Linked DNA regions of Rattus norvegicus. The main gene of each other region encodes a partner of the protein of the gene in region 3 in a complex. Links are inferred from orthologs where the notes say so. Each region holds a gene or a part of one and is shown on either strand. Other genes may lie near its edges.

Evidence for each region.
Region 1: the proteins of Itch (region 3) and Arhgef7 are in contact, whole or in part, in a crystal structure (PDB 5SXP), measured with the Homo sapiens proteins. The link is inferred for Rattus norvegicus from reciprocal best matches to the Homo sapiens genes ITCH and ARHGEF7. Residues at the interface, in NP_001244066.1 of Homo sapiens: Arg252, Pro253, Pro254, Arg255, Pro256, Arg258, Pro259, Pro260, Pro261, Pro262, Thr263, Pro264, Arg266; in NP_001106983.1 of Homo sapiens: Phe193, Phe195, Thr198, Asp201, Glu202, Arg215, Glu217, Glu218, Gly219, Gly220, Trp221, Glu223, Thr230, Trp232, Pro234, Asn236, Tyr237.
Region 2: the proteins of Itch (region 3) and Txnip are in contact, whole or in part, in a crystal structure (PDB 5CQ2), measured with the Homo sapiens proteins. The link is inferred for Rattus norvegicus from reciprocal best matches to the Homo sapiens genes ITCH and TXNIP. Residues at the interface, in NP_001244066.1 of Homo sapiens: Glu485, Arg487, Thr489, Tyr495, Val497, Asp498, His499, Arg502, Thr503, Thr504, Thr505, Tyr506, Leu516; in NP_006463.3 of Homo sapiens: Pro328, Glu329, Ala330, Pro331, Pro332, Cys333, Tyr334, Val337, Ile338.

What each region holds. Positions count from the first base shown.
Region 1 is NC_086034.1:84,397,746-84,401,376, forward strand, and holds part of Arhgef7 (rho guanine nucleotide exchange factor 7), read right to left. Parts: intron 2,594-3,631; coding exon 2,455-2,593; intron 1,873-2,454; coding exon 1,813-1,872; intron 1,251-1,812; coding exon 1,104-1,250; intron 1-1,103. UniProt on the Homo sapiens protein: Acts as a RAC1 guanine nucleotide exchange factor (GEF) and can induce membrane ruffling. Functions in cell migration, attachment and cell spreading. Promotes targeting of RAC1 to focal adhesions. May function as a positive regulator of apoptosis.
Region 2 is NC_086020.1:186,780,447-186,784,767, reverse strand, and holds the start of Txnip (thioredoxin-interacting protein), read right to left. Parts: upstream 2,836-4,321; 5' UTR 2,646-2,835; coding exon 2,396-2,645; intron 2,009-2,395; coding exon 1,936-2,008; intron 1,831-1,935; coding exon 1,683-1,830; intron 1,571-1,682; coding exon 1,468-1,570; intron 1,336-1,467; coding exon 1,079-1,335; intron 985-1,078; coding exon 828-984; intron 720-827; coding exon 568-719; intron 447-567; coding exon 402-446; 3' UTR 1-401. UniProt on the Homo sapiens protein: May act as an oxidative stress mediator by inhibiting thioredoxin activity or by limiting its bioavailability.
Region 3 is NC_086021.1:164,189,200-164,192,830, reverse strand, and holds part of Itch (E3 ubiquitin-protein ligase Itchy homolog), read right to left. Parts: intron 1,387-3,631; coding exon 1,287-1,386; 3' UTR 1-1,286. UniProt on the Homo sapiens protein: Acts as an Acts as an E3 ubiquitin-protein ligase which accepts ubiquitin from an E2 ubiquitin-conjugating enzyme in the form of a thioester and then directly transfers the ubiquitin to targeted substrates.

The DNA.
Region 1 (3,631 bases), on a different chromosome or scaffold from region 3:
AAAAAAAAAAACAAAAAAAAAAAACATTTGCCTCAAAGTAACCAAGTCAAAGCGAACACAGAGATCTAAGAGGCGGAGTCCAGAGACTCTGAAGGACAGAGGCAGGCGTCCATCAGCATGAACCACTACCTTCAGATTCCCACGCACGCTCTTCACAACACCACATTCACTCAGAGGCTAGCCGGGATGAGGAAGGTGTGGATCCTAAGAAGCTGCTGAAACCTGCTGTGCTCTCTTGGAGGCACACAGGCATGGCAGCTCGGACTCTCTTTGGAGAGACGCCCACCACTGCTATGGAGACTCAGCACTTGGGAAGCGTCGCACAGTGATCTAATACAAAACTTAAGAGTCACTTATTAAGGGGCTGCAATGGCTCTGTGGTTAAGAGCACTGACTGATCTCCCAGAGGTCCCAAGTCTAATTCCCAGGACCACACAGCAGCTCACAACTGCCTGTAACTGCATTTCCAGGGGCCCAGACATCCTCTCCTGGTCTCTGTGGGCACTGCATGCACCTTGTACAAAAACATGCATGCAGATAAAACACCCACACACATAGAATCATTTGATTAAGGAACACGTTCTGAAAGGTTGTAGTGTTTCAGGTCAGTGTGATAACAGAATGGGACAATTTCTTCCAGTGCCCACACTATAATGTAGTGGGGGGTTGGGGAGAGGACTCTGAGCAAATTCTGTTTCTTCTTCAACCATTAAAAGCTAACATTTGGTGAAGAGGGATGTCACTTAACAAACCAGCAACAAAGCAGTGATCCCCATTAATAGACACCAGAATACACACAAGCTTTTCTGATAGGAAAAGCCTGAGCCAGGGCCATGCCAGTGTCTGTATAAGACACCTGGACACAATGAGAAACATACCAGTCTCTTCCGGTCTTGGGTGAACACGCTCTCAGTTCACACAGCTTTGGAACAAGCTGATCCTGGGGCATGGGACTGGCAACTGGCCCATGTGCTGTGAACTTTCTACCCATACCACAAGTTCCATGTTTGTCAGGGATAAAAAGTGGAGCACAAGTGACAGGCTCCTATATACACAGCCGCACGACACTCCTCTAGACCTGGACTGAAGGCGGGCCTCCATACCTCGCTTCCTGCACACTGAATTGTGACTTGGGACATGTATGTAACACTGCCCAACGTCTTTATGTCATCCCCCTCCCAGCTCCTGATGGGCTCTGTCAGGATCTGCAGCTCCAGCTCTTTCCTTTTTCGTACTTCTTGACACTGGGCCTGTGGGACACAGAACACAAGTGTTCAGAGATAGAAGCTTCCAGAACCTTGTTTTCACCACCCTGCTTCTGCTTATACAATTGTATTGTTCTGCACCAGCTGAATGTCTGCTAATTAAAGTCAGGCCAAGGGAGCGACACGTACTCCTGCTCTGGCTCCTTAGGCTTTACAGGCCTTTCTGTTAGGCTCGGGACAAGCAACACACAGTAAAGCAGGAGAGCACCTGCTCTGGTTCCATCAGGAACTGCCAGCAGAGAGGAAGGACAGCACGACTGGTGTCCTGGATGACTGAAGCACCCTGGACTTGGAGGCAAGGAGTCAAATGGGTTCACACATCTGCAGCACGAACTGCACTGTGTCCTCAGTTCTGGCTCTGGGGCCCGCAGTGCACTCGAGTGGGAGAGGTTCCTGCTTGAACGTTGCTATGCATGTCCTCATATCTCAGTAAACACTGCGCTTAACTCACAACTCACTCGTTACTGTGCATCCTTCCAGTTGGGTGCTAACCCAATATGCATTCATCATGAGAAGGTCAGAGAAAGTCATACGCTTAACCACTTACTGAAAGGTTTTTGAAGGCAGTCATAGATTTCTGAATATCTTGTCTATCAGGATGATAATCCTTTGGATAAAGAAAGATAGGATTAACTCTCACATCGAAAACACCCCACAGACATTTTGTTTCTCGGTGTGAGGCCTGTTTATCTTTTAAAGGATTACGGTGCCTAAAAGACTGGAGGGAAATTAATTTAAAACAGAACTTCCAAGAAGGGTCAGCGAGCCACGCTGTTTGGTAGGAGCCTCCCGAGGACATGGCCCCACAGTGCTTCCATCTCTGACAGCCCTGCCCTACAAGGCGGAGCTGAGAAACAGCATGAAGGCGTCTGCAGACACCCAGGAAAAGCAGCAGCAGACGTGCATGCTCTTAGCCCACACACAATCAGTGCCTCCCGTGTCACTCAGCATTCAGCCCTACTGCCTGTAACTAAATGCTGCGAGGACACCCAGCTCTATTTGAAAACTACGCTCTGCAGCTTTCTGGAGCCTTTACACGAGAAAGTAAAAAGACAGATCTTACTCCTAGGGCTGGAGGAGAAAATCTCCATGCTTAACAAAGTCCCCCTGAAACACCGCATTATGAACTCTGGACAAGCTCTAGGGTGGTTTCACAGACATAAGGGGTCAGATCAGAGAGCAGCTGAACCTCCATGTGTCTCTCCAGCTCCTTCAGCAGTGTGGGGTACTTGTCCAGGCGCATGAAGGGCTTGCTCAGGCCGGTAGTCAGCACCAGGATCCCAGGGCTGCTGGCACCTTTTGTCTCCATGAACTCTCCCAGGTCCTCACTGGGCAGCAGGGGCAAGGAGGGAGAGAGAAGAGGCTCCAGTTAGGAACACAGAGCAGAGCTCTGCTTCACAGCCAATTTCCTCTAAGATAAAATGGCCTGCTGTAATGGCTACAGCCAGATGTGCTGGTTACCATACAATGTGAAAAGTATCAAAATCACTCTCCCCTCAAGGCACATCTTTACCCTGGGCATGCCAGCTTCATGGAGACCATCACAAACTCAGAGGTCTCCAGAGAGCAAGCTGGTAAGAGCTGCAATAAACTGTCCCTGAGCCACAGAGACCTGTGTGAGGGTCGCCACACCCCAACGTGAAGCATGTGTGAGAGCTGGTGAACTGACACGTTCTCTGGGAGCAGCAGCAGCACACACAGAGCAGCACAGTACGACAGGGCTAGGCACACAGGCTCTGGCATGGGGAAGCCACGTCGCAGCACCACACCGTCTGCTCCGCACACAATGCACATGCCCAACATGTGGAGCATTAGTAAGTCTTCAACATTCTGCTCCCTTTTCACAGCCATCTTCAGGATTCAGCTGATGCTTTCTACAACAAGTTTCAACTGATAACCATTTCCCAGCATCCTTCATTTTTGCTGAACCCTTGACTGACGACATGTTTTCTCAGAGCTCACAATTGGGTTTGTTTTAGGTTTTGAGTCTTACTAAGACCGTTCTCTCCATCCCCATCCAGTCATCTTAAAGCACTGTGGGATGACTGAGATAAATACCTATTTACCAACTTCCTCTGAATGAGCAGCTGGTGGGGCACAGCCTAATAGAGGCTCTCCCTTTCAAGGGAGACACGTACCCAGCCATTACGTTATTCCAGGTTTACTGAAACGTCACAACCTGGTCACTGCAGGGAACTCACAGTACCCCGGCTCAGAACTCCTAAGAATGAGATGAAATTTAAAAGAGCCAAAGTAACTGCCTGGGATCTGCACACAGTGTTCTGGTGCCAGGAAAGCGAAAGTAACAAACCAGTGGAAAATATGTTCTAACAGAATAACTTATAAAATCCATACAGAACGGCTGG
Region 2 (4,321 bases), on a different chromosome or scaffold from region 3:
TATGTGACATTGGCTCTGTTGCCCCATGGCACAGAAGTTCATGGTCTGTTCTTTTAATTCCCTTCAAAACAAAACACCTTGGAAAGACCATGCCTGAAGGTCACTTAGACCCCGACTCAAAAAAATAACAACTTCTTCATTTCCAACATCTGGGAAAGTGGGCCAGGTCTGAATGTTTTGAGCGTTCCGACATTCACCCAGCAAACACTCCTATATCACGGTGCGGGCACTGGTCTGCACCCCTTGAGGCTGGAGACTTGCCTACTGATTGCCACCCATCTGTGGAGTCAGAGGCGGGGGTGTACCCACTCCCCACTGGAGAGACTGAGTCTCTGAAACATTGGAGTTCAAGCAGAGAGGCAGAAAGCGTTGAGTAGTACAGATGAGTCGTCCCTGAAGGCTCACTGCACGTTGTTGTTGTTGTTGTTAAGGACGCAGGGATCCACCTAGGGGGAAGAGCGAGGAGACTTTCAGATTTTTTAGGTAAGTAGAAAACCCACACGAATCCCTTCCCTCAGAAGGCCTAGGACAAAATCTTGACCCTTAAAAAAAAGTAGTGACTCTCACCTCAGTGTAAGTGGGCGGAGGCATGAACTGGAACTCGGGGGCGTACATAAAGATAGGGCTGTCTTGAGAATCATCCACATCATCTAGCAGGGGGGTGGTGGGGCTCTCCAGTCTGTGATCTTCAGGAATCACGTCCATATAGCAAGGTGGAGCTGAAAAAGAGAAAACGGGGTCAGAAGTCCAGCTAAGAAACTCCCAGGCCACCCCAACTCCACAAGCCCAAGCAGGTCAAAACGAAGAGTTTATTAGCTGAAGCTTACCTTCTGGGGTGTCTGGGATGTTTAGGTCTATCCAGCTCATTTCAGAGCTTGTCCGGCTAGCCATGCTGGATGTCCGGCTGCTTAGGCCCGACCTGCTGCCAATCACTAGGGGCAGATCGAGGATGACTTTCTTGGAGCCAGGGACACTAACATAGATCTAGGAAGGAAGGTGGGAGTTTGTTAGATGGGTTGTGTTAGAGGAGGCACTGACTTTGCACCCAAGCAACTATTTCTCTTCCCTCCTCACTCACCAGCAAGGAGTATTCAACTCTGAGGATGTTGCAGCCCAGAATGGACGGTCTGATCTTCTGCACTCGGAGACTCTTGCCACGCCATGATGCGCAAGTCCCTGAGATAATGTGATTGCCTCTGACTGAGGACAGCTTCTGAGTGAGCACTTTGGTCTGGCCATTGGCAAGGTAAGTGTGCCGGGCCACAATAGCTGCTTTGGGGACCACGATTCGGGAACATGTGTTCTCAAAGTCAGCGTGGATGGAAATGTCATCACCTAGAGTTGAAGAGGAGGAAGGAAGAATATCCATTAAATTTAACAGCATTTCCTCCGCCTTTATCCCACAACCCCCTCCAAACCCCACAGCTGTGGCTATCCTATCTGGTATTATAAGCACTGGGCTTTTACCTTCACAGAATCCTTTTCTGTCGATTCGAGCGGAGACTGACACGCGTCCATCAGGAATGAACATGCAGGAAACTTTCTTCTCCTTTTTGGCAGACACTGGTGCCTGTGAAGAAGGAAATAATGTTTTGAGCTATTTCAATGCCTCATGCATCTAATTCATTATCTCTGACCAAGGAGAATAAAACCTTAAAGAAAATAAAAGAAAAAAGCCTCACCATTAAGTCAGGAGTATTGACGTCCACTAGATCCATCACTTCAAAGTTTTTCTTTGCCTCTTGAGTTGGCTGGCTGGGACGATCGAGAAAAGCCTTCACCCAGTAGTCTACACAGCCATATTTCCCTTTGAAGGATGTTCCCAGGGGCCTGTGTCAAAACAATGAACAAAAATTAATGCTAAGAAATGTGAAATATCAATGGAGGGGGAAGACTTAGAAATAAAGAGTCCATGGTGCGGTCGGTGATGCCTACCCTTGAGGAAGCTCAAAGCCGAACTTGTACTCATATTTGTTTCCTGGTCTCATGATCACCATCTCGTTCTCACCTGCGGGGAAACAAAGGCAAGGGGCCATTAGACTTCTTGTTACATTCCAAATGCAGCATCAGTGAGGAGTGCCTGGGCAGCAGACTGTCTTACTTCCACACTTTCATCTCTCACACTAAGGAATAAGATTCCCCGGGACAGAAAGTTGCACAACCCACGAATACATTAATCTTTACGTAGCTAAGGCAACACCTTCAGGAAACAGCACCCCAGAAACTGTTCCAATTACTATGGGGGGTGGAGGAGGGTAGCGGAATAACTTGCAAATTAAAAGGTAAAAATATAGGGGCCAACAGCTCAAACCATTCAAACGATCGACTCGAAACATTTAGTGGAGGCCCCACCCCCAGCCCCATAAGTCACTATCCGTCCTGCCAAGAGCTGTACCTGTAGGCTGGTCTTCTAGGAGAAGGGTGTCTTCATAGCGCAAGTAGTCCAAGGTCTGTTTGCACTGCTGAGACCCTTGCATCCACAGGACCTTGGCCACACCGCAAGCCAGGATCCTGACGGCTTTGACTCGGGTAACTTCACACACTTCCACTGTCACCCGGCCGGCCACCTTCTCCCCGCTGCCATACACCTTCTCAGGGTCGTTGAAGACCACCTCAAAAGACTTGATCTTCTTGAACATCACCATGATTGAGCCGAGTGGGTTCAAGAAAAACGGAAGCCGGAGAGGAAAAACTCTTCAGAATCCTTCTCAGCAAACTAAGAACTTAAGTCTCTCCGTGAGGCAGAGAGGGCTTAAAAACCCAAAGAAAGCCTCAAACAAAACCTTAACAACTTCTCTAAAAGGTGCCTGAAAGTTTCAACCAGCTGGTTGTGCCAAAAGCTTTCAGGAGAAAAATAACAGCTGTTTTCTCGCAACTGGAGGAACTCTGGATATCCAAAGACCAGAAGAGGAGAGTGTCAAGCGGGAGCCGGAAACGGCATTATATAGCCGCCTGGCTTGACGCTCCACGCGAGTGCTGGCCCGGAGGCTCGTGCATCCCTCGTGCACAGTTCTCCCATTGGCTACTTGGTCCTTGTTTACCAGGCCTCTAACCAATCAGCGAGGCCGCAGAGGCGCGTGGACACAGTGTGCTCTTAGCGGGGAAAATGGTTGTTGTTCGGGTGCGCAGCCTTGCCAGGGAGGAGGGGCGGGGCCTGGGGCAGCGGGTGGCTCCCTCGGGAGTCTGGGACCCCGAGACCCTGAACCTCATCCAGGGTACTCCTCTCGGGAGCTGGGTTGTTTGGGTGTGTGCTTTGTTGGTTTTTTTCCCCTTCTTTTTTTAGGTAAAAGAAAAATGTGCTTAGGAGAGGATTTCATGCCTGTCTTAGCCAGCGCAATTCATTTCGACGTGACCATTTATTCCTGGCTCACAAGTTCGCAAGTCTGTGAAAAACAATCCCCAAGGATACTTCAGGATGGAGCGGAGGGCGAGAGTGCAGTTGTGTTAGTGAGAAAGAGCCTACCCGATGTGCTCCCATTACACTTCTATTGAATAAAACGCTTCCATCTCCCGGGGGCGGGGGACTTGTCAGATATTTTAAGTCTGGCTTAAAGTCCTTATTGGTACATGGTCTGGTGTGTACCCCTTCGTTCCATGCCCTATGTGCTGCTATTGTTCCTCGCCCATTACGTTCTATTCTGTTCTGTTCTCTGGAACGGAAGCAGTAAGGGAGTGTCCACATCCTGTTGCTTATCCCCTCATCTCTTCAGTGTACCTGTGAGGTTGGGGAACATTTTGTATATGTTCCCTTATTTACCTCACTGTAGCTTTAGTGAGGTGTGTACCTTTACACTGATCTCTCCCTTCGTCCCTGCTCCTCCAGGAAACAAGGGGTGGGTACAAACAAACAAACAGGGGGGAAGAAAAAGGAAGAAAACGATCTGTCACTCCTTACTTTGTTCCCGAGTTCCTGTCACTCTTTTTTTTTTTCCCCATTTGTCCTCTCATCAAAATCACTAAATGAAATGCATACCCCTCAGCCTGTTTCAGTCTCCCCAGGGCTGAAGCTGTATTGGTTTCACTTGGCTATTTGGCAAACCTTGCTGAGAAATGCTTCAGGAGCTGACTAGAGAAATAACTTGAGTGCAAAGAAACTCTTGTATGTTGAAGGACTACCCACCACTCCCTGACACCCCAGGGCCCCTACCCTATTCCTCACCCACCTCCTCCCACCTCCACCCCGCCAGAGCCTTGTCATTGAGTCCTAGCCTCCTTCCATATTTGGGCAGAATTATTAGGCGTTTATCTATCGCCTTTTTCCTTGCCCTGGAATATAAAGACAGTAGCCCCGAGATTAAGATGGAGAAGCAAAGGGTTGGGG
Region 3 (3,631 bases):
ACCAACACCTTTCAAGGTCCCTATTAGAATAATAAGGCTGATTTTGGGATTTGGCTACAAAAGGGACTCAACTGGCTGAGGTTTCATCCTATTGCCCATAATGTCTATGGCGGCAGCCATCTTGACAGTCTAATGCTAAGCCAAGGTGAATTAACTACAGAGAAGGTCAAAGTGCATTCATCAGTTACTAAAGGAGCAGTCTAAGATAAATGAGTCATGGAAAGAAAAGGGAGATCTAAAATTTTTAGAGGTGAGAAAACTATTGCGGATCAGGACCTGAAGAAGGTAGAAACGGCTCCTGCTGTGTCAGGAGTGGAGTGTGAAGACAGCGCAGCTGTGTGGCTGCTGGATGCTGTTCTGACTGCAGACACTGCACCACTGAACTGACCTCCATCTGTGTTAGAAAATGGTTGCAATTTGAATATTTTAGCAAGGATGAAATGTAACTAAGGTGTTGGATTACATCAACACCATTAAGCTTTAATTTATGTGTAGAATTTAAAAATCAGGAATGATCTTACATGAATTCATCTGAACTTATTTTAATTCTAGATAAATTTCTAAAAACCGTGAGGGAGCCACAGTGCTGATACTGTCTGTAAGTATGGTTTCATATGTGCAAGGCAATAAACAATTACAAACTGAATGAAGAGAGGTATGAAGTCATATGTTGGCGGGGACCAAGTTTTCCCTGAATTCAAATAGACACAACTACTTTGTAGAGAAATGCAAGTCCTGCGTCACTTCCAGAAATAACAGCAGGATGGTGCACTGGTCATGCTTCAGGAATGAAAAACAACAGTCAGGCCAGGCTGAGAAGAGCGGGAGAGCACAAGCTGCAGCTGCTCGTGTGCCCAGACGCTGGGTTAAGCTTGCACCTCTTAGCTAGAGGCTTTACCAGGAAGACCTTGTGTACTGCAGTTTCTGAGATGTCCCTGCAAAGCCCTTTACAACAGCCACTAAGAGACCTGCGCCCAAGTGAGACTCCGGACAAACAGCAAACTGTTGTTAAGGGAACAATCTAGTGGAGTAAGACAGGGAGAATTCATCGCTGTGTTAAATCTCATGTTAAGTTTCTGACTACTGTTTGTAGATCTGCTTTCTGGAAACGTTGAGTAGAAATCCAGAATGACTGGAAGATCTCAACGATAACATTAATTTACTTACTCTCAGATAACTCTCTAGTCACAGTCCAAGTTTACAATAAGATGTGCAACAGGCAGAGAAGGAAAGGGACAGACACTGCAGACGAGTCCCTGGCCTCTGGTGGCCTAAGGTCTCAACAATTACTCTTGTCCAAATCCTTCTGTTTCTTCAATGGCAAATAACAGCTTTTCCTTCAGTTGCTCATAGCTCTTGTAGGGTGGGAGGTCCAGGCGGTTAAAACTGAAAGAAAGAATTGTTGGCTTGAGAAAAGGAAACTACAAAGATGCACAGGCAGTGCCCACAGCATCACTTCCGAGGTCTGACAATGTGTGATTAAACCACACAGCCTTCAAGAACTGCCTTTACCCTTCCAAGTGTCTTCTCTGGTAAACTGGGGCAGCAGCACCCACCACGGTGGTACAGTTAGAAACAGGCACACAGCACCTTGCAGGTACTTAGCAGACCCTCAGCAAATGCCAGTCTTCTCCTGCTGCTCCAACTACCCACTGTGGCCCAGTGGTCAGCAATCTTACTGTAAATGCAGGTGGTTTTAGGTGTATCATGTTAGAATACGAAATGAGGGACCAGCTGTGGTGGCGCAAGCCTTTAATCCCAACAACAAGAGGAAGGGGCAAATGGGCCTCTGTGTGTTTTAGGCTAGCCTGGTCTATGTAGGAAGATTTTGTCTCAAACAAAATCCATATAAACAAACTAAACTAAAATGATCCTCACCTAATACTCTGTTCCCTCTAGAGTCTCCTGTTCTGTTCTTAGCTGTGAATTTCTCCAGCAGAGCCATAGATTTTTTTTTAAAGCAGGGTCTGGTTTCTGTATGTTTCTTTTTTTTTTTTTTGTTCTTTTTTTCGGAGCTGGGGACCGAACCCAGGGCCTTGCGCTTCCTAGGCAGTCTGTATGTTTCTTGAGGCTGGGTCCCACAGTCCAGGCTGCCCTCCAGCTCACTGTATAGTTAGGGTGATTCAGGGCTTCCAGCCCTGCTGCCTTTACTTCCAAGCCCTGGAACTGCAGGCTTTATGCCGCCATCCCTGTCCTAAGTGTCCTCACATTTGTGCAATGCCATCTTCATAAGGTAGCAAGGAAGCTGCTCCTGAAGATGTTACTCATGAAGGAAGATAACTGAGCTTTGTTATCTCTTTGTCAGTATGTTTATGAAGAGCTGGTGAATTAAAACATACGTGTACAACATGAGTGCAAAACCAGTTATATTCTTAGATGGCTCAGCAGGTCAGATGACCCAAGTTATGTCCCTGAGACCCATGTGGTACAAATGAAGGAAATCCTTCATGGCCCTGCCATGTACAAATGTAGTAAGACATCTGCTTCATGTATCTGCTTGTCTGTGTTGATTGTGTACCACATGTGTGTGGTGCCTTTTTAGGCCAGAGAAGAAAGAGTGTCAGGGTCCCTGGAGCTAGAGTAGGTGGTGGTGGTCACCTAAGAAGCTGCTTTCAACCACCAAGCCATCGCTCTCTCCAGCTCATTTCAAAACAAGAAAAAGAAAAAAAGAAAAAACAAACAAAAAAAAAACCCTCCAAAAATCTCCCAAACTGAGCACAGGTCCACACCTTGCTAATAAACTCAGAATGTTAAGGATGAGGCAGAAGGATCCTGAGTTTAAGGTTGACCTGGGCTGCCTAATGAGACCCTACCTTAAACAAAAACCAACCAATTACTTCCTAGGCTGGTGAAATGGCTCAGCTGGGGAAGAGCTTGCTGCCTTGGGTCAGAAGGTGGAAGAAGAAACTGACTGTGTAGAGCATCCTGTGACTTCCTACCGCATGCTACTGCAGCGCCTCCACGCCCACAGACAGACATGCACACACTCAGATAGGCTCATGAATGTAAAAAGTGGCTTCCATTAAAACCACACTCCTTTCTGTAGTAGAACCAATTTTAATCTTGCCCCTGGCTAGCTTACAAACACGTGTAACTCGGACTATGGTTATTTTATTTGGCTTTGATAATTACTGAGGGGCAACCTTTAATCTGCTTCTCTAACTGCTGGCCTGGCCACCTCCCCACCCCAGCGGTGTCCCCTAGATGCCTGGTGTTTCTCCAGGCCTGCGCTAGTGCCACAGCCCATCTCCTCTCTGGTACTGTGTCCCCTCTCCCCATTCAGTCTTGGCCTCTAGCTTCTCCGCCTCCAACCAGGTAACTCAAAACCCACCTATCTTATTTAACCAACAGTTTTAAACTAGGAAACAAGGTTTGCACAACAAAAGCCTGTAACTGTGAGAATTCATTCACAGGCCTAGAGCTTAGGATACAGAATTTAGCATTACAATACAATACATAGCAACAGACCAAACCTCAACAGCTTTCTTAGTGTGAATCTGACTCCCTGCTGCTGCCAGTAGCCCCTACAAAGTCAACTGTGTGTCCCTAGGGGTATTGTACAAAATAAATAATTTACACCCCCCCCCAAAAAAAACCCCAAGAAACCATACATTAGTCATACAAACTGAGG